Linked DNA regions of Caenorhabditis elegans. The protein of the gene in region 3 interacts with the protein of the main gene of each other region in a pairwise test. Each region holds a gene or a part of one and is shown on either strand. Other genes may lie near its edges.

Region 1 (4,625 bases), on a different chromosome or scaffold from region 3:
ACCCGGAATATGTCTGGCGCTTCACAAAATTCTTATATTTCAGCACCAACAAGCTCGCCTATTTCAAAGGCTTCTACTCCCTGATCTGGGTCGCCTATTGCTCATTTTTCGGCTTCCAGTATGCACTGGGAACCTATTTCTTTTTGGCGAGAGACCAGGTCTCAGATACAAAATAAACAGTTTTTCAAGACATTGATCCTTCAGGTATATAAATTTTGCTTTGCGCCCGACACCTCATGGGTTTCCACAGAAAACCCGCAAGGTGTCGGCCGCTTAAGTCCGATTACTAAAATTGTTACAATGTAGATCACAATGCCGACGATCATATTATTCATTCCAATAACTGTCATAATTTTCCTTCCTTTATTCAACTTAGATGTGAGCTTGCCGTCTGGAGTAATGCTGTGCAGCTTTACTTTGTATCCAGCCACGGATTCACTTATTGTGATGTATGTCGTTTCGGAGTATCGAATGACTGCAAAAAGTAAGCAAATTCCCAAAACTTTCAGTTGCAGCCGACATCTGGCGGTCTTCATTTTTCCATAGTGTTCCGTAGCGCTTGACTTCTAGCGGATTCAGCATATGTTCACATCGAGAACCCGGTAGATGTCGGGTGCTTGCAACAACCCGTGCAAGAAAAACCTCACAAACTTCCAGGAATTCGAATGATTCTGTTCAGAAGTTTCAAAGAGATTAAACAGTCAAGAGTTGGCACAATCGCGTCAGTAGGAGCAACAAGTTTCACACCAATGCCGCCATGAAAATCAATAACATTCTCATTTCCTCACTATTCTATCTATTTCCTCCATTAAATTTGAAAAAACAAACACTCAGAATATGTGATAAACGATGAAGAGAGTAGTCCGTCACCGGTTTTTCTACCGCCATATGTCCCCTCCTTATTCTCTCCTTTCTCTCTACCCCTTTCGTGTCATTGCACTAGATGACAAAGGAAAATGTGACTGCTTGGCGCAATGGTAGCGCGTTCGACTCCAGATCGAAAGGTTGGGCGTTCGATCCGCTCAGTGGTCAAAGTTTTTTTTTTTTTTCTAAATTTGAGTAAAAACTTAAAGTTATCAATATTATTTATTAAAAAAGTATAAAGAAGTATTGTCTTGTATATACACATAACTGGTGTCACAATTATACATTGGATGACTACATTCTCTTGCAACATTGTCCATTTCCACACGGAGAATAGTTTTGCTGGCAAGAGCAGGAGTTGACTGATTGAGTGAGGCATGGCATCTGGACTAGTTGAGCAGTAGAGCACGATTGATAGCATGATTGGGTGCATGCTGGAGCACATTGCTGCATTGGTTGTTGTTGTTGAATGCATTGTTGTTGGCATGATTGTTGGCATTGTGGAACACATTGAGCAGATTGAGAAACTGAAGGTTCTAGGATGACAGTCACAATTTGTGGAGCAACAACTGGAGATTGGCATGCTGATTGGCATTGCTGACATTGTGGAGCAGCTGGTTGCTGACATTGTGGAATACATTGTTGTTGGCACTGTTGAGTCTGTTGGCACGAAGTTTGACATTGTTGGCAAGCTGGTGCAGATGGAAGTGTGCATTGTGGAGCACACTGTTGCTGGCAAACTGGAGCATACTGCTGGCAAGTATTCTGGCACTGCTGGCACTGTGGAGCTGATGGCTGTTGGCATTGAGGAGCACACTGTTGTACGCATTGTGGAGCTGCTTGCTGACAGGTTGTCTGGCATGGTTGAGTACATTCCTGATAGCACTGTTGAACTGGAACTTGTTGTAGAAGACATTGTTGTTGACACTGTTGTTGGCATTGTGGAGCACATTGAGCAGAGATTCCCAAGTTGACATTGATGACTTGTGGAGCAACAGTTGGAGCACATTGTTGAACACATTGCTGCTGACATTGTGGTTGACATTGTTGAATTGGTTGAGCTTGAACACATTGTTGAGTGCACTTTTGTTGGCATTGTGGAACACACTGGACTGTGACTGGAGCTGGAGCAACACAGGATTGTTCACAGGCTGGCATGCAAGATGGTTGACATTGGACTGGAGCTGGAGCAGCTATTTGAGTATAACAGGAAGACGTCTGACAAGTCTGCTGGCATGAAGATTGACACTCATTCATAGATGGAGCAAATTGACATTGGTTCTGGCAAGACTGCTGACAAGCTGGAGCACATTGAGAAGTTTGCACTTGGTAAGTTACTTGCTGAACTGGTTGGGCACATGAGCAGGATGTCTGGACTGGAGCAGTGTTCTGACACGAACAACTGTACTGTTGTGGTTGAGTTGCTTGTTGGCATGAACAACTTGGTTGAACTTGTGAAGCACAACCACATGATTGACGTTTATCACGAATTGAAGATGCCTAGAAATAATATAATGTTTCAAGGTGTACATATAAATTGTTAACTAATTCTACAGATAATTCAGAAAGTAAGTGAAGCAACAGTAATACAAATCGTACCTCAACAATAAGAAGGCTAGAAACAAGAAGAACTGCTGCAATTGTAATAAAACGCATTGTCAATATGATTGAAGAGCTGCTAAGAGACAATTGATGCCCTTGTTTTAATTTTTCCGACTTTTATACCAACGTCCTACAACCCTGTTTCATTAGCCATCAAACAGTTCCGTCCCACTTATCAAACTCCATCCATCAACCGGCTTCATGCTCAGCGCAAACATAACAATGATAACATGGCAAATGAACCAAAAAACACGCTCGTCGCCTCCCAGTCTTACACACACTATTTCTTGAGGGCACGGCAAGTTGCAAAGATCAAAAAGAGGTTGGGTGCGCGTTTGCACTGATACAGTGTTTTTTTTTTGGATTGCGCCGAGTTTCCGCTTAACTATGTGTACCAAAAAATTTCGTTTACATTTTCAGAAAAGTAATGAAAGGGTTACCTGTTGAACTTTAGAGTTCGGATTTCGACAAAACGATTTTAAATTGTTTATTGCCTTTTGACGCCACTCATTATTAGAAACACCTTTTTGTTTGCTCTCACAATAGCCATTCGAAATTACAAGACTTGAACTCTTGGACTATTTTTTCCGGCACTATTTTTTTACATTGCTATAATCGTACGCAAGCAGTGTTTGAGGGGGTATATAAAGCCTTGATATCTGTGGAAATCATCAAGCCCTGCTTCTTCAACCATTATCATGCGTTTCATCGTATTTGTAGCTCTCTTTGCTTCCAGCTGTCTGCTTATCGAGGTTTGATAAAGTTTCATTGTACTTTCACTTTTAGAATGGCACGACATTTCTAAACTTTTTCAGTTAGTATTTCGGTTTATTAATAATTAAAAATATTATATTAACTACAACAATTTTCCATCACTTGATGAAAAATTCATCATGTACAGTTTTTTCAAAATGTTCTTGATAATACGGTCTAGTTTTCTAAGTGCCCACATCTTACAAATATTTGTTGGACGTAATCGATGTTAGCAACAAAATGCTTGTTTTCCAAGTTCACAGAAGTTTTTTCCAGGCAACATCAATTCGTGATAAACGTCAATCATGTGGTTGTGCTTCACAAGTTCAACCAAGTTGTTCATGCCAACAAGCAACTCAACCACAACAGTACAGTTGTTCGTGTCAGAACACTGCTCCAGTCCAGACATCCTGCTCATGTGCCCAACCAGTTCAGCAAGTAACTTACCAAGTGCAAACTTCTCAATGTGCTCCAGCTTGTCAGCAGTCTTGCCAGAACCAATGTCAATTTGCTCCATCTATGAATGAGTGTCAATCTTCATGCCAGCAGACTTGTCAGACGTCTTCCTGTTATACTCAAATAGCTGCTCCAGCTCCAGTCCAATGTCAACCATCTTGCATGCCAGCCTGTGAACAATCCTGTGTTGCTCCAGCTCCAGTCACAGTCCAGTGTGTTCCACAATGCCAACAAAAGTGCACTCAACAATGTGTTCAAGCTCAACCAATTCAACAATGTCAACCACAATGTCAGCAGCAATGTGTTCAACAATGTGCTCCAACTGTTGCTCCACAAGTCATCAATGTCAACTTGGGAATCTCTGCTCAATGTGCTCCACAATGCCAACAACAGTGTCAACAACAATGTCTTCTACAACAAGTTCCAGTTCAACAGTGCTATCAGGAATGTACTCAACCATGCCAGACAACCTGTCAGCAAGCAGCTCCACAATGCGTACAACAGTGTGCTCCTCAATGCCAACAGCCATCAGCTCCACAGTGCCAGCAGTGCCAGAATACTTGCCAGCAGTATGCTCCAGTTTGCCAGCAACAGTGTGCTCCACAATGCACACTTCCATCTGCACCAGCTTGCCAACAATGTCAAACTTCGTGCCAACAGACTCAACAGTGCCAACAACAATGTATTCCACAATGTCAGCAACCAGCTGCTCCACAATGTCAGCAATGCCAATCAGCATGCCAATCTCCAGTTGTTGCTCCACAAATTGTGACTGTCATCCTAGAACCTTCAGTGTCTCAATCTGCTCAATGTGTTCCACAATGCCAACAATCATGCCAACAACAATGCATTCAACAACAACAACCAATGCAGCAATGTGCTCCAGCATGCACCCAATCATGCTATCAATCGTGCTCTACTGCTCAACTAGTCCAGATGCCATGCCTCAC
Region 2 (5,626 bases), on a different chromosome or scaffold from region 3:
GGATGCCCAGCAGGACCACCTGGACCACGTGGACCAAATGGTGCTCCAGGACTTGACGGACCAGATGGGCTTGATGGACCTGATGGACATCCTGGATATGCTGCGGCAATCAAGGAGAATTTTGGAGGAGCTTGCATCTCTTGCCCAGCAGGACCAGCTGGACCACCAGGGCCAGATGGTTGTGCAGGAGAGCCGGGAACCGATGGCGCCCCAGGAGAAGACGGACAGAATGGAGCACCAGGATCCCCAGGAGGACCAGGAGAGACCGGACCACAAGGACATCAAGGAAAGCCTGGAAGAGCCGGACCACGAGGACCACCGGGAGCCAAGGGACAAACCTACCTTCCAGGATCAGCAGGACATCCAGGAAACAGTGGACGTCGTGGACCACCTGGACCACCGGGAGCCAATGGAAAGAACGGAAAGCAGGGAGCCGATGGAATTCCAGGCGCCGGAGGAGCACCAGGACAACACGGAGTTCCTGGAGTCGATGGATCCGATGGAGCACCGGGAGAGGATGCCGCGCCAGGTGGAGACGCTGCCTACTGTCCATGCCCAACGAGATCGGTGGCTGTCGAGGCAGCGCCATCGCAGGCAGAGCAGATCTACAAGACTCATTAGAGAGCTTTTTAATAAAGAATGTCGCATTTCAAATGGTTTTTGTGGTTTTTTTAGTTTCTGGGGTTGCGAAATGACTTCAGCTTGTATGGTTTCAGATTTTTCATATCAGATTATCAGCACTGAACGAGGTCTCAGCACAGGGAGTCTCGCCACAATGGGTCTTACCACGAAGGGTCTCACTGCAATGGGTCTCACCACGGAGGGTCTGGCCTCGATGGGTCCCGCTACGATAGGTCTCGCCACGATAGATCGCACTGCGGGGATCTCACCACGGGGGGTCTCACCACGACAAAGGATCTCGCAACGATGGATCTCTGAAATTTTGAGAAAATGTGCATTTGAAGCACATTTTTGAGACCATTTTATACAGTTATGAAAAAGTAATGAATTTATTTTTTTTTAATTTCAAATTTCAAATTGATGTATCACATAAAATCGTATAAAATCTATGTACAATTACGAATTCATAATTCACAAAAAAAACGACAACCCGAAAACCCGTACAATAAAAACAATACACACAAAATCATTGTTACACAATCACAGTTTTCAAAGCATCATTCGGATTGACCTCGATCGTGGCGACGGCGCCACGTGGGAACGGGATCTTTGTGGATCCGTCAAGGACCAGGTATCCGTTGGTGCATCGGGATTCGAGTTTGATCTTTCTGGCGAATCCGCGGGTCGCCGTGCGTTTGTAGGTGGCGTTGAAGATCGGCTCACGGATTGAGAAGGCGAAACCTGGAAAGTTAAAAGTGAAAGTGAGATAATGAGAAATTCTCAAATTTGAGTTTTCTGAAGCCTGACGATGAGGCCAGCCATGGGGTCCTTTTCTCAGTCCTTTTCCATGTCTGTGCAGGGTCTTATATTTGGAATTGTGTAATCAAAAATACCCCTGACATTTTGTTTCCAACTCAACAAACCCAAATTCCAATCAACTTTCAAAAAACTCACTAGGATGATCTGGCTCGAACGGGATCTTCTCATTCACCGAATTCACCACCTTCTCCACCAAATTCCTTGTGATCGGCACATCCACGCCAAGTGATTGCAGTGCCTCCAACACTGACGTCGTCGCATTCTCATCGATCCTGTTCATTCCGAGGTACCAACTCGTCGATCCGGTCCCAGTCGACACAATCAACCCGGAGGACTTTTGCTTGACTGTCTGCGAATCGTCGATGGAAATATTGTAGGTTGAGACTTTGGCGGCTTCATCCTCTCCGATGAACACCTCGTTCAGGGCGAGGTTTGTTGATTTTTCAGACCTCTTCAATGAGAAAATCGAGTTCCGGGATTCCTTTACTGTTACCCGTATCCTCGTCCTCTGCACCCACTTCAAGTTTCCAGAGACCAGACGCTCGATCAAATCGCGAGGTGGATTCTTGCCACCGACACACAGGTGTCCTTCACTTCCGATCGGGTCAGTGTTGATACCGATGATTGGGGTGTTGTCGTTGACCACGGAAGCTGCAGCCAAGAAGGTTCCATCACCACCGGCAGAGATCACCAGATCAGCTTCAGGCAGGTACTGGGCTAGCTGCTCGCGAGTCACAACTTTTGTGGAGATGCCTGCTTTGCCAAGTTCGGAGACAATTTCCTGCACTGCGTTTACTTGTTTCTTCTCGTTTTCGAGGAGCTCTTGAACCTTGGTGCCTTTTGAGGAGAGGTGCCTGAAAAGATTTAGTAGCTGGGAATATAGCCTGATAGACATTTTTACATTCAAATGAGGTCAGTAGACTTTTGTCAATTGCAGACACCATGGGAAAAATACACAGTTTCGGTTTTTAGCCTAAATATAATTTTCCAAATTTCTGTATGATAGGATATAGGTGAAGCAAAACATGGTGCATCGACCGGACACCTTATACATATTTTATATAGTGTTAATGTTATTAAAATTAAATTCAGGAAACAACCTATTGAATATGAACTTTAAGACATGGTGCATCGACCGAAAATTATCTTCTTTGGTAGCTCATATCTCTGTCTGTTTTAGCGTTATCAAAAAGTTGCTCACAGGCGAAATATGAAATATATGTTTTTCTACTATTTTGTAATAACAATTGTTTGAGTACCTAAAAGATGAACAAAGCTACAAGCTTTAGAAGTGGCTTGAGACATGGTGCATCGACCGGAACCAGCTTTGATAGCTTATATCTCATTTGGCTTTGGGTTTATCGAAAAGTTGCTTTCTGACAAAATATTTAAATATTTGATTTTCTACAGTTTTGTAGTTAAAAATTTTTTACTTTTTACTACCTATAAAATGAACAAAGATATGGACTCTGAATGTGGAGGAAGACATGGACATACATTATTGCAGTTTCAATTTTTTAGTATCTAAAAGATGAACAAAGTTACAAGCTTTAGAAATGGCGTGAGACATGGTGCAATGACTAGAACCAGCTTCCACAGTTTTTATCTCGTTGTATTTGGTTTTAAAAGAAAACTGTCAACTAATAAAATTATTTTTAGCTATGTGCCTATAGTATCTTAAAAATGAACAAAGATATGAGCTTTCAAAGTGGAGATGCAAAACGTGATGCATCGACGAGCAGCTTTGGTTGTAAAACTCACTTTTTCAGATCAGCATCGCTCAAGCCCGTCTGCTCCTTCTCCCATTGCCATCGTGTGCTCTTTCGAAGGATCAACGCAAACCGGATCGCCTAAAAATTTGCTCCAAAACAAGGCTTAAAATCGAAATTTGGCTCACCGGCTGCTGTCTGCTTCCGCTCGGTTTTCCTTGTGTTACCGGAGAAACTGGGCGCGCCACGTGGCTCACGCAGTGAGAAATTGCCAAAGCGGCCATGATGGACGGCTGGAATTATAAATTATTAGAAATTGGAAATGGATATTTAATGGAATCAAAAAAGAGAGAGAGAAAAGGTTAAAATATGATAGAAAAGCTTATCAGTTAGTTTTTTTTTCAGCCGCCTCATCACACACGAAAAGTCATTCGAGAATTCGCCAAAAAATCAACACAAATGGCACCATTATTTTCAAATTTCCAAAATTTCAAAATTTCAAAAATTTTTCCCGATTTATAAATAAACGGGGCTCCGCCTTCCGAACGTCTGGGCGCCGCCCACCGTTCCGGTAGGCTACAACAATAGAAATTGTGTGGGAGGTGGTGGTTTGTTCCCCTCGTGCTCAGATGTGCTCGCAATGTTTGATTTTTGAGGAGAAATTGAAAGTTGAGAATTGAGAATTGACACAAAGTAAATAAATGGTGTTGAAATGATACTTGACGCCATGATGGAATTTTTTGGAAAAAATGGTGTTTTGATCGGCTGGAGTATAAGGAGTATAAGTTTAAGCTGTGATATCTCTACGAGTAGAGGAGTTATCAAAAATATGCCAACTAATAAAATATAGAACTTTAAAAGTTGCGTATTTTCGTAGTTGGCAACTTTTTAATGGAGTTCACCTCCGCGGAGTTACAGACGCCTGGAGGTTCAGTGGTGAAGGGTGAGCAGTAGTGTCGAAGACTAGAAATCGTTGTAATTTGTTGGAAAGTGGATTTATCAAAAAACTGTTAAACTAGCAATTTATTTATCACATAAAACTGTACATTTTTGTAATTTGCAACTTTTTCATAACAGTAACCTCCGTTTAGTTACAGGCGCCTAAAGTTTGGTGGTGAAGCGGCAAGGGAGCCGATGAAGAGAGCTACTGAAATTTCTGCCCTTGTATCTCCTCGGAGAATAAATTTATCCTAAAATTGTTAACTAACAAATTATTTACCACATAAAACTGAACATTTTTGTAATTGTGAACTTTTTCATAAAACTACCCTCCGCTGAGTTACAGGAGCATAAAGGTTTAGTGGTGAGAAGTAGGGTGCCAATGGCTGAAGCTAGCACCCTCCGTATCTTGTCGAATAGTTGATTTGTCGCAAAATTGTTCATTAAAAGATTATTTACCACATAAAACTGAACATTTTTGTAATTTTCATCTTTTTCATAGCATTAACCTCCGCTGAGTTATAGCCGCCTTAAAAAAACACTACATGCTCAAGTTAACAACTGTTGAATAACTTTTACTTCGAAGGAGTTAAAAGGAGTTAAAAGTAAAAATACGTTATGAGAATTTGATTTTAAAAGGCTGCGGGATTCAGCTTGTGCTAAAACCTCTATACCTCGTCGAAAAGTAAATTTATCACAAAATTGTTAAATTACAAAATATTCATCTCATAAAACTATAAATGCAACCGAACGCATTTTTTGATACCACTCACTTCCACTGAGTAACGGGCGCCAAACCGTTCAATAAACAGTGCAAATGCTTTCTAACAGTCTGCGCCTCCACTGATTCCATTATATTTTTTTCTTCGGCAATTAAAAAAAAAGAAAAATGACCGTTTTCTATGCTGGGAGAACCAAAGAGAATTCGTTGAAAATCAATTTTCAAAACAAAAACAGCGGCGATGATTTCGAAACATACGATGTGACCAATGACCAAAAACTATAGAGCACGGGAGACCACAAAATTTTGTGTCCGACTAGAGAAATGGGTGAGAATGGGGGAAATTCGGAGTTTTTTATTAAGAAAATAGTAAAAATTCGAGTTTTAAATCTAGTAACTCATGAAGAAGTCTTATCAAAAAGGCTGCACAAATTACGCGATTGCTCTCCGCTCTTCTTGAGAACCAAAGAACCAAAGAACGCGTGAATGATTCAAAAGGGGGTATTTAAAGGCACATGCACACCGCCGAGACACAAAGAGACACAGTGTGAGTGTGCGCGTAGCCATGATGACAAATGGCTAGATTGCGACCTGACCCTTCTAAATTTTGTGCCCTGGGCTTCAGCAGGGCTTTATGGAAGTGATCATTGTGATATTGTAATACATTGTGACCACACAAAACTGAACAGCTTTGAGGGCTTATATCTTTGCTACTTTAAAATACAACAAGAAAAGTTTAACTGCAATGTTACAGAAAAAGATTTGAAAAATATTTTAGTAGTTGACAAAATTATGATAACCCCCTAGACAACTGAGA
Region 3 (5,217 bases):
ATCTCAACAATATCATCAGGCACCACCTCAACAAATGATTCAACAACAACATCAACAACCTGGTCCACCTCCACAACAGCAACAACCACAAATGCAACCTATCGTGGTTACAGATGTTGGACGAACTGTAGTTCGAGCAGTTGTACCTGCATTTGTTGCACCACCGAATCAAATTCATTCGAGAAGAGTTCTACATTCGGAAGCATATCTCAAGTGAGTTTTTTGAAATTTAATTGTTTTTCAAGTATTGATTTTTCATTTACAGGTATATCGAATCACTTGCCCAGAATCGACAGAAGTCGGTAAGCCGATGGGAACGAACTCTAGGAGCAACTGCCAGGAATACCCAACCAGCTGGAAATGCCCGCGCTCCATCTCATTGGATAAGGGTTAGTTCGACTATTTCTTCTTGTAAAATATATTTCATAATTTCAGAGAATTGAAAACGGACGACCTGTAGCTCGCGAAGAGGATGTTACAAAAGCTTTGTGGAAACTTCGCGATGAATTGTTGAAGAGTACGTGTAGTCTTGTAATGGACCGACCAACTCAATGAAATCAGTGGATCTCTTGTTAAAATTTTATGCAATTTTTATAACTTTATCATAATTATCCTACCCTATCTCGCCTCCCCGTTCAATCCAGAAAACAAGAATCTCTTTTTCTTTTAATGTATTTTCTGATAACCAGTTATGTGTGCTCCTTCTGTTTTTATCCTCTCATGATTCCCACGAATACCTTAAATCCTATTTATTTTCAATAATTTATTCGTTTCTTGATTGTATTTCTTACTACCCACTTCAGTCACTAAATTTATTATCATTTCCAATTCACCTTTTTTTAAAATATTTTTATTAATGGGTCGGGTATGAAACAAATTCAAACGATAAATCAAACATCAAAGATCTGTCGCCAAAATTACAACTTTATTCGGGATAAATCCCTGCTTCTCGTCAGCGATTCGGACGGCCCACAACCAATCATCTACTGGTCTTCCAGTGCATTTTATCCATTCACCTGGTCGGACTGTTAGATCAAGAGGTGATCTTCCAGAAAAAGGTTCGACTACGAGAAGATTTTCATTTTCCCTAAAAATTAAATAAATTTGCCAAGCCAAAATATAATCAGTTTATTTCGCAATCTTTTGAAACGCAAGCACGAGAAAAACATTTATGGCAGTAGTTTTTTATCTTGCAACGGCCCTTTTGCTTTTTTCGGGAATTTCGTGAACAATTTTAAAGTCGATTCTTTTGATTTTTTATTACCCATACGCGAAACTTTGCAATTTTTGCGCCAAAAATATGGTACTCAATCTCGACACGACAATATTTTTTATCAAATGTAAACGGATGTGCGCCTTTAAAGGGTACTGTAGCTTCAAACTTTCGTTGTTGAGGAATTTGCATAGATTTTTCATAATTCTCCGTTAAAAAATGTATTTATTTATTTTAAAAAACCACAAAACACATATATTTTATTTTACTAATCGTGAGAAAAACTATGAGCACGAAAAGTTGTATTTACATTACAGTAGTCTTTAAAGGCGCACACGTTTTCACACTTAACAAAATTGTTATCGTGTCGAGACCGGGTACTGTATTTTTGGCGCAAAAATAACAAATTTTCGCGTCTTCTGAGTCTTTTAATTCTGAAAAAAAAAACAGAATAACACCCATGACCCATCTGAATAAGTCCGTACACCTTTAAGCGTTTCAGAAAACTGCGAACTTACGATACCATTTTTCTTTAATGACACGGCTAGCTTGTTGCAATATTTCATGTGGAATCTTAACATGGGAAGAAGGTACAAAACCAGATTGATTGTCCGAATTTCGAATATAGGTCCACTCAGGATCTGATATATTCAAAACTGTGACAGATTCTCCATCTTTCACAGATATATCATCTGGAGCTGATCCATCAAATGACTGTAGTATTTGAACTTCGCATATCTCATCCTGCAGATAGTATCAAAAGAATATTCAATAGCTTTATTCAAAACAAACCATTTTAAAAACCTCTCCTTCTTCTTTTTGAACAGGAAGACTGTCGATAAATCTCTGCAAATTTGATTTTTCCCAACGGCGATCAAGTGTCGCGCTGGATCCGATCACCTTTTTCTGAAAAGTATTTGATTTGATTTCTCAACGGTTCCATTCCCGAAATTCTTGGAGATCAAACCGAAATGGGACTCTCTGACATCACGTGGCTTCTAAGTTGTTCTCACTAAAGGTGACAATGATTTTCACCACTTTTCTTCGATTTTTCAATGACAAAACTATGAAATATCTATGAAATATTGGAAATAATTAGGAGTGTGGTTACAGTAATTCGCAAGGCGCACATTCTTTTGCGCATATTTCGGTCGTGTCGAGACCGGATACAGTAGTTTTAAATGAATATCATTAAATGCCACAATTACACGTGTTGTTGCATTCTTTAAGATTTGCACTAAAAATAACTTTTCTAGAACATCTAAAACGCTCACCTTTTCACCGTGTTTTGAATTCAAAAGCAATTTACAATATGTCTGTGGAACAAATCCTTTTCTTCCATCAGATACCTCAACATAAATCCATTGATCATCTCGATAAATTGCTTTAACTGTAGTGCCACGGGTTACACTAATTTCGTCAGCAACCTTAAAAGTGAGAGGTTAGAAATTGGGGTAATTTGGAAAAACTGAAAACTATACAGTTGCTGTGAAGTTTTTTGTTAGTTGTCCTGGAGTATAAGGATCAAAATGATCCACTTGCATACTGTCAACCCATCCACCATTATCGGGCACTGAAATTCATTTTTGGAGGTTTTATTTTTAATCAGCTAAAATTAGAAAAAAAATGGGACAAACTGTGCTCACCTCTTCCAGATACAACTTTCCAAAAAATGCTCCTAATGCCCATTGTTTTTGTGCGACGAAAAGCCAATGAATTGCTCACAAAACACGGTTAATCAACAGAGGCATGTCAAATTATTGTTTGTTCACCGAAAATTGGATCTGATTGGAAAAAAAGATGGAGTCTCGGGAGGGAAAGGCATGAAAGGCGGACAGTATTATTTGGCTTCAGTATAATGGCTTATTTTGCCCTAGAAATAAGGAATCTGTGATATTTTATGTATTTTGGAGATTACCATGCAGAGATGCATAAACTTTTGTATCTTGTTTGGAAGTTTTCAATTAAAAACCAATAAATTTTAATACCAGTTACGTGGCAACCGCTTACTAAATACAAATTCGGAGGCGAAGAATACAATTTTAATAAAAAATAATTTATTTCCAAATAAACTAGAAAAATGACTATTGAGTTTATCAATTGTGCAGGATGTAAAGCCAAAATCGCCGAGGAGGATGTCGAAAAGGTAAATCCACAATTGGTGTATTTCCTTTAAAAAAGTAATTTTTAGAACAAAGTTGTCTTCTTTCTGAATCGAATGTGGCATCGGGATCATATTCAATGCATTTTTTGTAAAGTTAGTTTTGGAAGCGTTCGGAAAAAAGCACTTCCAAAATTTCAAAATATCCAATTTTAGCTTCAAATCTCGGACAATCGTTATTTCCGTTCATCAATTGATCCAATGAAACCATCATGTTATGCATGTCATATTCAAACAAATCATCCATCTTGCACAGGTATTTTTAGTTCTTCGAAGTACTGATTAGTAGAAATTAAAAATTGAATGATATGGCTTGTGAATTCGGTTTTGCACGGGTTATACGAACTTTGATTACTCAGCTACATATAGGAAAGATTAGAGCCCCTTACGATTACTTAAAAAACAAATTTTACAGGATGCTCATTGCCAGTAATTGAACGAGGACTTGTTGCATTTAATCGTCTCTTTCATATTGATTGTTTCCGTTGTGCAATCTGTAACAAGACAATTCCTCAAAGAAAAGGATTTTATGAACGTGATATGATGTTTTATGATGACGTTTGTTATATGCTTCATATCAAAGATGTTCTATAACATATTGAACTTATTTGAAAAAATAATGAATAGATTTTGAACGGTTTAAAGTGTATTTTTGTGGGTTAACTATAATTTCTAAGATACTGATTTTTGAGAGATTTCAAGACAAATAGGGAGTAAAGTAGTCCCTTTCGGAACAATTTTTCTGTGATTTCTCTTGTTCACTGACAAAAACTGAACAATTTCAGTGTTTCATCTAATTAAAACATTTTTTTATCAGAAACATTGGACTTTTTTAAAATTTATAACACGATTTTTGAAATTTTACACATTTTGAAAAATGCAATTTCTGAATCCAGAGTTTTGTCAATTTTTCAATCAATTTATAGAACTTGCAAAAGTGAAACAATAATTATAATATTTGAAACATCACAATCATAATGAGCATCCTTCTGTTCTTTCATCATTTAACCTCCTCCATTCAAGTAGTAAAGTGTGCATCTAGTAACTTCACACCACAAAATGTTTCTGTGGGAGAAGAGCTACGGGATGGATGAGATGTGTCACCTGTGTCAGATCAAAATGACGTCATATAGATCTTAGTTTTCTTTTTCGAGTAACTACGTACTCGAAAATGTTTTGTGACTTTTTAAACATGTCAGTGTCAATCTTTTAATAATTTTTTTTTGTTTTTTGTTTCTGTCTGATTTTTTTTTGTGTAATAGTCTTGAAATCTTTTTGAAATCTAAAAGTCTTCTCAAGTCTCAATTCACTATTTCAATATTTGTCATTTTTACGTTTTTACAGAGAAACTAAACATTTAACTTTTGTTTCAGATGAAGTTTTGGCATATTTCCAATTTTCCTTGCAAAATTTTTTTTAAATATTGAACACTGTTGAGTGAGGAAATGTTAAACTACACAACATTGAAATTTTTAAACACAATTAACTAAATATTATTAAACCCAAAAACGTAGGAAATTTTGTTTTTTTTTCGGGCTACTTCCGCAATTATAATCGACTGTAAATAAAAAAGAATTCTAAAATTTTTTGCCATGCTTTGCTTCAAATAGGAGTGATTCCGAACATTCCACACTGGCGACACTCCACCTTTAATATATTTTGAGCATAAAGCTACACTTTAAAATACGATTTTTGTACTGAAGTTAACTATAGAAACCCAGAGGTCTTTGGTAGTCCTGCAGTTCAAATATTTTCCCAACCTAATCTGCACTTTTTAAATCAAACATAGTAGCTTATTATTCATGCACTATAAAAACCGAAAAGATAAAATAGTCTAGTGGGA
Region 4 (8,860 bases), on a different chromosome or scaffold from region 3:
TGTCTAAATGCACTTACACGGTGGCAAGTAATTATGGGAACTTTTTTTCGCGCTAAATCAGAGAACTTCCAAGCTCTTTCTATTAACTTTTTGTATTATATTATGTTAATAAAATATTTTTCAAGAGTTTTATGTAAAAAAACTTATGCAAAATTAGTTTTCAAGACATCTTTCTCATTCGAATGGATTTTATTTTCAGGCAAACTAAATAATGTGTGCTTTGAATTCGACAAATCATTGAGTAACTCAGTATCATCGTATGTACTTGACAATATATACAAGATGAATCCAGATTTATATAAAAAAGTTACAAATATTTTGAACATATCAGCGATAATAATTGATATGGAATTCGTGGAAAAGGATGATTTTAAATTATTTTCTAATCAAACTGTCAAAAAACTCGTGCTTAAAAACTTGGAACCTTTGAAGAGACTGTATGCAGATGAAATAGATCCTCCCAATAATGTGCACGACAATCTTGATAGTGAGTTTGTTTGTATCAACGATTTTGCATTTCCATTTCAGCATATGAAAATTTCCAAATCTAACTAATGTTAACTAAAGTAATGTTAACTGAAATCTCTTTGGGTCTTCAAGGATGCCTTCGTGTGTCCCGCCTGAAAGATGAGGGAAAAGTTCAATCAGAGCAGATCTCGATTATCAAAAGAAACTCGTGTGGAGAAGCTCTCGAGGTGTCACGAAAGGCGAGAGATATGCTAGGTGGAAATGGAATTGTGGATGAGTACCATATTATGAGACATATGGTGAATTTGGAGACAGTTAACACTTATGAAGGAACACACGATGTACATGCTCTGATCCTTGGAAGAGCCATCACGGGACTCAACGGATTCTGCTAATTTCTTCCTTTTTAATTTTCACTTATTGTCTAGTCTTGTCATAGTCTATTGCTTCAACGCAAAAAAGTTTTATTTTATTCCCAAAAATATTAAAAATTTCTATAAATATGTAGAAAGTTGAAGTTGAATTAATGATATCCGTAGGAGGAATTTGTAGTCATATGTGAATGTGGCTGATGATGATGATAGGATAGATCCACATTTGAATTACTCATTTCACTATTCTGGCGGCTTCGTGTTGAAATTGGAATATCCTTTCGACTTCCATACTTCTGTCCCATCATTTGTCCCATCACCTGCCGATTTGGAGCCATATTCGGTTGAGGTTTTCGCTGATATCTTCCATTTTTGTTGACTGGGCTAAACATTTGACCCTGGAAAACAGAAAACTAAGGAAAGTAGTTTTCAAAAATCTTACTCTTTGTGGTTCCTCATCACAAATTCTCAACTCGACTGGCAATATCTGAAGATCGTCCATTTCTGCGAGAAGATCATGTGGGATGTGGATTCCGAGACCTCGAACAATATCCAAATTCTGTTTCAGATAAAGCATTAGGAGAACCTCTTGTTGCTCAATTGGGTCAGCCGTTTGAGGAGAGTCTGAAAATAAAAGTTTTTTGAAAGAAAACGTGATATCTTGTTCAATTTGTAACACTCCGTATCACAGAGGAGTGCATAGAGTTGATACTCAGCCAATTACCGAATAATAAATATTGAGTTAAAATTCTAGAAAATTGAAATTTATTAGATTTGATTTGATATGAAACTTTATGAAAATGAACTTAAAAGCTAGCTTGAGCTTTTCCAGGATTTTCTTGTAAAGATTGTAAGAAGCCAAGATATGGGCGGAGTTTATTTATAAAAATTGGAATGGAAACTTGCAGCAAAAAAAATTGCAGAAACACCTGCAACTCAAGTATGAATTTTTCGGAACAAATTAGGTCTTAACACGAATCAGTGGTGGTCGGCAAATTTTTGTCGATAAATTCGGCAATTCGGAAAATTGCCGGTTTGCTGATTTGCCGGAAATTTTAAGAGGGATTTTTTATAAGACGGAAAAACTTTTAAAACTGTGCCTTTTTGAAATTTTTTCCCGTTTTCTCTAGATATTTTCATAGAATTTGCTTACTTTTCGAAATAAATGTAGGAACATTCATAGGATGCGTACAATTTTGCCGATTGATATTGAAATTCTAAAATTTTCAGAAAAAAGGTGCAAAACCACAATTTTCCGGAAATTTGCGATTTCGGTAATTTGCCGAATTGCCGGAAGAAATCGTTTGCCGCCCACCCCTGACACAAATTCAACTTTTCAACTACCGTAACCGCGAATTCACATCTTGATTCTTTCAATGTGCAATTTTTAAAGTCATATATACTTAATTATTTATTTCGGATATTTTTTGGAGGAATAAAAATTTCACTTTTTTTTGGAGAAACATGTGATTTCTAACAATCAGAAAATGTTCCCTTTAATTTCAAAAAACCGCTCACCTTGCTGAACAAGCCTATTAATTGATGTCTGTGGTTGTTGCTGCTTCTGAACCATTTGTCTTCCATCATCATATCCACTGGAAATAGTGAGCATATTAATATTCTGTGCACCACTTGAAATCGGAACTGATGACAAATTCGGTTCGTACTGCTGACCGTATCCACCGTTTTGATGATAGTTGGTAGGTGGCCTTGATGCATGATTCACCGTAGCCTGTCTCAATTGCATCGCATCAGATTTTGGTGGGAGTGGTGGAGCAATGCTCAGAGAGCACATCGAATCTCGGCGACTATTCGCACCTGATCTCCAATCTCTCGTAGAAGCTGTTTCGAAGAATTCACGTGACGTTGCGATATTGGCAATGGATTCTCGAGATACTGCCGACTTGATCTTTTCCGTGTCATACCATGGTTGATAATCAACTTGCATACTTAGAGAGTCTAGGCTTTTTCCTTTGGATAGTTTTCTTGTATTACTAACTCCCGCTGTCATTTCAGCTTCTTCGTGAATCTCTTTCTTCACTTCGATGGCTTCTCGCTCGGTTTCCTCCATTTTGCGCAAACGTTCTACAGGGATTCGACTGTCTACCGGAATCTGGAAATATGTTCATAGATTTTTTTTTCAAAAAAATTGGGAAGTTGCTAGCGGGCAAGTTTCAAAAACTAAAAAATGTATCTGTTCTAATAAACTCCACGTCTGTCAAACTTTGGTGACTTTCTGCCAACTTTTGAAAATGTTCTCTCAAAGTTTGGCAACTTTCTATCACATTTTGAAAACATTCTGGCACTTATTCCACAAGAGATATTTCCCTTTTATTAACCATCTCACCAAAACCCCTTACCTGAATGCTATTCGAAGCAACCAATGACGCAGACAACGCATCTGTAGATCTCCATTTCGGAAAACCATAACTCTTCGGTCTCTGGCGTCTCTCATCTTCTGCTCTTTGTCGTTGCTCAATTTGAATGTTTCGTTCCCAGTACCCACGCATGTTGTTTGTGCCACGAACTTGACCACCAGATACTCGTCCCTCCATCGCTCGACCCGACCAACTCTCGAATTCTGAAAAAAATTAGTTTCAGATGAAAGGCAGGCTTCAGGTAGGCACGAATAAATTTCAAAGGATATGATTTATGATTTAATGTAAATTTGAAAGCATTTGAAAATCTAGTATTCGAAGACTAGTAGAAAACCAAAAAAATCAGGTTTCGGAATTTTTCAAAAACCGTAAAGAGACCGAACTTGAGAATTTTGCAAAATACAAAAGATGTTTGAAGTACTTAAGATCAATTTAATTTTTTGGAATAAAAAATAAAAATAAAAAACCAAAGCTTTTTAGGCTTTCTGCCGATCATAGAAGTTCTAATTTTTGTAACATCTCAAGGATTGAAATGATACGAAATCGTAGCTTCCTATCATATTTTCACAGAAATCCAAATATGTCAAAATCTCTGTTTGCTCTTATTAGGTTCTTCCCTCTCTCGTCTGCTCAAATCTCATCCAAATGACTAAATGTGTGAAGTTCCAACTTCATTTATTCAGACAGAACATTAAAAAAAAATCCGGCAAAACCGGGAAAAATAGGGGGAAAAGGACGGCAGCGATAGAGCAAGTTTCTTAGTGCGTGTTTGTATTTTCTGCTCATTGAGTCAACATGATGCTTCTTCTTTTTTCTGTTGGTCGCGCGAACCTGATTACCGGTCGGTAGGTGGAGGAGGAGGCAGGAAAAGAATAAAACAGTGGGAGTATTGAATAGATGGAGATAGAAAAAATGCTCTGTTTGTTAAACTTTCAACTTTTAATCTCTAATAAAACAAGGGGTTGAGTTTACTTTATTTTTCCTTTTGTAAACCAAAATTTGGGGTTTTTGAAAAATACTGCTCAAATCTTTGATAGCACATATCTCAGTTCCCATTTATTTTATCAAAAACTTACCAACTGGAAAAGTATTTCTTTTTTTTATTTATTTCTTCTTTATTTATCTTCTATAGTTTTATAATTCAAAACTTATATTTAAATTCAAACTTAATTAAAATAAAAGCTGTCAAAGATGACAGCAATATTATTAGAGGAAATATGGTAGTTTTATTGAAAATTGGAGAACAATGCCTAAAAGCAAAAATGATTTGAAACAGAAGTAAAAAGTTTGGAACTGAGAATTTGAAAATCTGGAAATTTCCAAAAAAATACAAGAAAAATAGGGTGTGATCGCGTATAATAGCCAATATAATGGCGGAGCCCTCCCAAACAAGCTTCTCCCTTTTCTTGGTTTTTTATTGCGTTTTATGTACTTGTACATACTAAATTGTTCAAGTGTGGAGCATATTGGGAAGGAGAAAAATCAATATTCTAAGTTATTACCTTTCTTTGGTTCTTGAATTTCAACTTTTTTCTGCGGTGCTTCTTGGCGTACAGGTTGGAAGGATTGGAGAGTAGCTTCTGGTCGCATCTGAAATTGAAATCAAAATTAATTTTTACGAAAATAACATCTTCAAAGCTTCAGCTTCACAGACTTAACATTTTCTAAATTTTTTTTTTTGCAAAATCGAGAACTGAAATTTCACCAACCTTTGGCACTAACTCCTTCATTTTTTCATTGGCACCCATATCCATTTTCTGTGGTAACCCCGAGGAAACTCTGATCAATGTCCCGCTTGCAGTTATTTCTCGGTGAAGTTCGTGTGGGCTTCTGAAAATTTAAATTTAATACATTTTTAATGCTATTTTAGATAATCAGCAATTCTATTAGTTTGTAAGAATACAGGTAGGCTCAAAAATGCCTACTATCGTGCCTATTAGGTATGGTTTTGAAAAAATTTCAATAATTTTTTCAATTTCAAGCTAATCGTGAATACTATAAAATATTTTTCTGTCGATTTTCAATGTTAATACTTTCAGATTTCAACCGATGCTACTACATTACTTTTTAATAAAAAATACCACAATTTATAATAATCTTGAACCTACCCCAACGGAATCATAGTGACATGTTTATCAATAGACAATTGACTTGAAGTTAGATCATCAGTAGTTCGCACTTTTTTCAGAGAAGAGTAGATTTCCTCCTGAACAAAATGAATTGAAAATGAAAAGAGATGGAGGAATGTATATCTCAACCTGTTGTTCATGGATCGTCGGTGTATTTGCCGACTGTTGAGTTGAGGCGTACGAGACGCAGAACATTCGAGAAGGATTTGGAGCAGATGATTGAGCTGGGGGAAATTCTGAAATATTAATTGGGAAGATATTACCATGATTTTTACATCTAATGTCCATTGGAAAATTGTTTGAATAAAGCGTTTATCGGAAAATAAAGTTTCAATTCTCATTTTTAGGTTTCGAATTAGCTTCTCCACATTTTCCGAATTACGAAAATACTGTTATTTTTCCCCAGTAGCCGCGGAATCAATTTTTGAAAGAAATAAAACCGTCGAATTTAAAATAAAATTGGCATGTCATTTGGAGCCTATCCTATTAATCAGATTACAAATTTTGCAATTATTGCTCCAAAATTACGGTCTGTACAGGACTCGAAGCGACATATTTTCTTAAAATTTTTCTTTAAAAAAAAACAGCGTGCGCCTTTAAAGAGTACTGTAGTAATCAACTCCTCGCTTTTGCAAAATTTTCAAAGATTTTTCTCCTGTTTCTTCAAAATTTTATGTATTAAAAAAAATACATATAAATATGTTCAAATTTTTTTTCGACAAAATTTTTTGAAGAATCGGGTGACAAATTGTGAAACATCGATGAAAATCTTCTCAAATTAAAAAAAAACATTTCACTTTATTTTACAGTTCCTAGCAGAAAAGTACTTTTCCCATCGGTTGCTAAAACTTGAAAACTACAGCATCATTTTTTGCAATACCCCGGAAAATGGACGTTCCTACTTTTTTTTTTTGAAAATATGTTATTATTAATTATAAATATTAGTTTTATCAAATCGGAACCAAAAAAATATTAAAATTAACTGTTACTGATAAACGGTGCCGATCGATGTGCCATAAAGTGATGCAGGAATAGGAAAAATCGAGTAGTAGAGGAAGGGATAGAGAATGGCTCTCGGACTCTTTCCCAATACGAGAGGTGAAGATGCGTGAAGTGCTGATGGCGCCGACGCAATAGATCAGACGAATCAAGAGCCGCAGAGAGTGGAACGCGCGGAGCCAGAGCATCTCCAAATGTTTCGACCGGTGGTGGTGATGAGAGCCGCACACACATACAAACACAACTGATAATATTTGGATTTGTGCGGAAAGACAAGATCCTGTTTCGGGTTTATTAAAGAAGAGATGGTTATAAGGTAGAAATGAAAAAAAACCGACATAACTCTTGAGAAAATTGAATACAAAAAGAGAAAGTAGAAAAAATAGCTGACAATCTGGAAAATGGAAAATAAAGCAATTAAATCGACATCATAGAGAATGGACGAGACGGTGGCTTCCGATTCTCCTTATCTATTGTGGAATGATCAAGTAGAGTCACTTGGCTGTCAGCAGAGCTTGACGGAGAAATGCTGTCGACTTCTTTAGTACTTCTTGAAGTTTCGATTAAAAGTTCGGAACGATAGTCTTTCACTTCATCTCGATCATCATCTCCGTAGTTTGTGGGCACTGAAATTATTTGAAATCATGATATAGTCTTTTAAAGCTTCATGTTGGTTTTATCTACAAGAACTGCGAGAATTTATACGCAGACTTCTCAACAGATTTTGAATTGTTCAAATCGTACTGAGACCAATTTTTTCTGGGCAAAAAGTTCTGTATTTACTGTAGATCATACGGAAATGGGACACCAGAGGTGCGGCAAATTTGCCGAATTTGCCGTTTGCTGAAAACTAATGGTTTCGATCAGAAACTTAATGAAAAAAAATAACATTGTGTTTCTTTCATTTTTTTTTATTCAAGAAATCCACACGCGCATTGGGCAAAAATTGAGCGAAACCAGTTTTTGAGCTTCAAAAAATATTGCGATTTACCGAGTATGACGAGCATGGCAAAATTGCCAAATTTGCCGAGTTCGGCAAAATTTCAAAATTTGCCACACACCGTGAAGCAACAAATATAATTGAAAATTTAAAGCGAATTTATATGGCAATGAACATGATTAGATATTAGATTATTGATTGAAATTAATGTTAGAAGAAGAAGTATCGTTTGAATAAAAAGTTTCGGACGCACCCTTGAATCCTCCAGGTGGTGGAGTCATTCCCGTAAGACCTTGAGAAGTTGGTTGAAGGAATGAATTTTGAAGGAAGCTGACATCAGACGGATTTATCAATGACTCTCCGGCTCCACTTGTCATTGTCATCGGTGTGTTGCTTGATGGTGGAGCACTATTCATGAAGTTAGATGACATGTGGTGAGAAGCATTCATGGATTGGCTCATATAAGGGTAGGAGCCCATGCTCAATGGAGGTGGATATTGCTGAGGATTTGATATTTGTGGTTGACGGAGATGGTGGAATGCCTGAAAAATTATATTTATTTGAGGGTTCTCTGAAATAATAATATGAACTTACATCATATCCGGAATTCTGGAAAGCCTCGAGCTGCTTCTTGCACCGACTGAGCTCTTTTCTATAGCAATCCCGCTCCTTCTTCACTTTATCCAACTGATTCATATAGTGGAACATGGCGTTTTTGGCATCATTGCACTCTTTCTCCATATCCTTCAACTTTCTCTTTTCTTCCCGTCGCTTTTGTTCAGACTCTTTGTACTTTTGCATGTAATGTTGTTGAGCACGCTCGATGACTGCAAACTGAGCCTTTTCACTGAAATCATCATTTTCTGATTCTTCAATTCTGTCCTCGTAATGTGAATGACGACTGCTGTATTGTCCAACCGGTGATGGATCACCACTTCCGTATTCTGAAGATTCACCACGTCGACGGAAATCACTTTTGCTGCTATGATGACGTCTGCTACTCGGTTTCCGTCCTTCGTCTATCGTGTAGTTTTGTCGCATCGACTGATGAAGCACGTCACGCCTCCGATGTGAATTGCTCTTCTGTGAATACTTGTCAGACTCGTACGACACATCTGACTCGTCACGATAACCTCCCGGACAGCTTTGAGGACCTTTACGAAGTTTTGGTGCTGATGTTGTGTGATAGGCGGCAGTGGCGGGAAGAGCTCCATCGTCGGCGAAGCGAGCAACAGCTCGTCTTTGTGATTTGGAGGATGAGGTGCTCGGTGCACGGAATGAACGGCGATTGGAGACTTCGCGAGCCTGGAAATTAACAATTTGAATTTGAAAATTTCAAATTTCACGTGATGTCAGAGTGCACCATGTTGGCTTGATCTACAAGAATCACGGAAATTTAGACGCGACTTCTCAACTGATTGGAGGAAAATTTCCGCGTTTGTTGTAGGTCAATCCGTAAAAGGACAGTCTATTTTCAATGCACTTTCTAGTTTTGAGATATTAATTATCAATCACCAATATAAACCAAAAAATAAGTTTAGAAAAACTAACCAAATCCTCGTTATTCTCCTCATC

Evidence for each region.
Region 1: the proteins of C26C6.8 (region 3) and pqn-90 interact in a two-hybrid assay, tested with the Caenorhabditis elegans proteins (one large-scale study listed by BioGRID).
Region 2: the proteins of C26C6.8 (region 3) and nadk-1 interact in a two-hybrid assay, tested with the Caenorhabditis elegans proteins (one large-scale study listed by BioGRID).
Region 4: the proteins of C26C6.8 (region 3) and F54D5.15 interact in a two-hybrid assay, tested with the Caenorhabditis elegans proteins (one large-scale study listed by BioGRID).

The regions. Positions count from the first base shown.
Region 1 is NC_003282.8:15,288,743-15,293,367, forward strand, and holds pqn-90 (Prion-like-(Q/N-rich)-domain-bearing protein), read right to left. Parts: upstream 2,521-4,625; coding exon 2,464-2,520; intron 2,447-2,463; exon of another isoform or gene 2,425-2,446; intron 2,395-2,424; exon of another isoform or gene 2,365-2,394; coding exon 1,159-2,364; downstream 1-1,158. Other genes in the region: pqn-91 (Prion-like-(Q/N-rich)-domain-bearing protein), read left to right, coding at 3,165-3,218, 3,496-4,625.
Region 2 is NC_003282.8:1,454,891-1,460,516, reverse strand, and holds nadk-1 (NAD(+) kinase), read right to left. Parts: upstream 3,443-5,626; 5' UTR 3,434-3,442; coding exon 3,338-3,433; intron 3,291-3,337; coding exon 3,202-3,290; intron 2,295-3,201; coding exon 1,576-2,294; intron 1,363-1,575; coding exon 1,154-1,362; 3' UTR 996-1,153; downstream 1-995. Other genes in the region: col-106 (Nematode cuticle collagen N-terminal domain-containing protein), read left to right, coding at 1-621.
Region 3 is NC_003279.8:7,502,679-7,507,895, forward strand, and holds C26C6.8 (SH3 domain-containing protein), read right to left. Parts: upstream 2,965-5,217; 5' UTR 2,903-2,964; coding exon 2,860-2,902; intron 2,787-2,859; coding exon 2,695-2,786; intron 2,641-2,694; coding exon 2,488-2,640; intron 2,120-2,487; coding exon 2,006-2,119; intron 1,958-2,005; coding exon 1,737-1,957; intron 1,088-1,736; coding exon 898-1,087; 3' UTR 845-897; downstream 1-844. Other genes in the region: pbrm-1 (Bromo domain-containing protein), read left to right, coding at 1-213, 266-389, 436-555; C26C6.6 (LIM zinc-binding domain-containing protein), read left to right, coding at 3,294-3,359, 3,405-3,470, 3,531-3,630, 3,790-3,968.
Region 4 is NC_003280.10:11,557,791-11,566,650, forward strand, and holds F54D5.15 (ZM domain-containing protein), read right to left. Parts: upstream 6,438-8,860; 5' UTR 6,364-6,437; coding exon 6,330-6,363; intron 5,583-6,329; coding exon 5,476-5,582; intron 5,424-5,475; coding exon 5,326-5,423; intron 5,048-5,325; coding exon 4,927-5,047; intron 4,808-4,926; coding exon 4,720-4,807; intron 3,421-4,719; coding exon 3,200-3,420; intron 2,953-3,199; coding exon 2,358-2,952; intron 1,464-2,357; coding exon 1,282-1,463; intron 1,238-1,281; coding exon 992-1,237; 3' UTR 925-991; downstream 1-924. Other genes in the region: F54D5.24 (FTH domain-containing protein), read left to right, coding at 200-555; F54D5.5 (uncharacterized protein), read right to left, coding at 6,763-6,971, 7,539-7,827, 7,880-8,590, 8,837-8,860.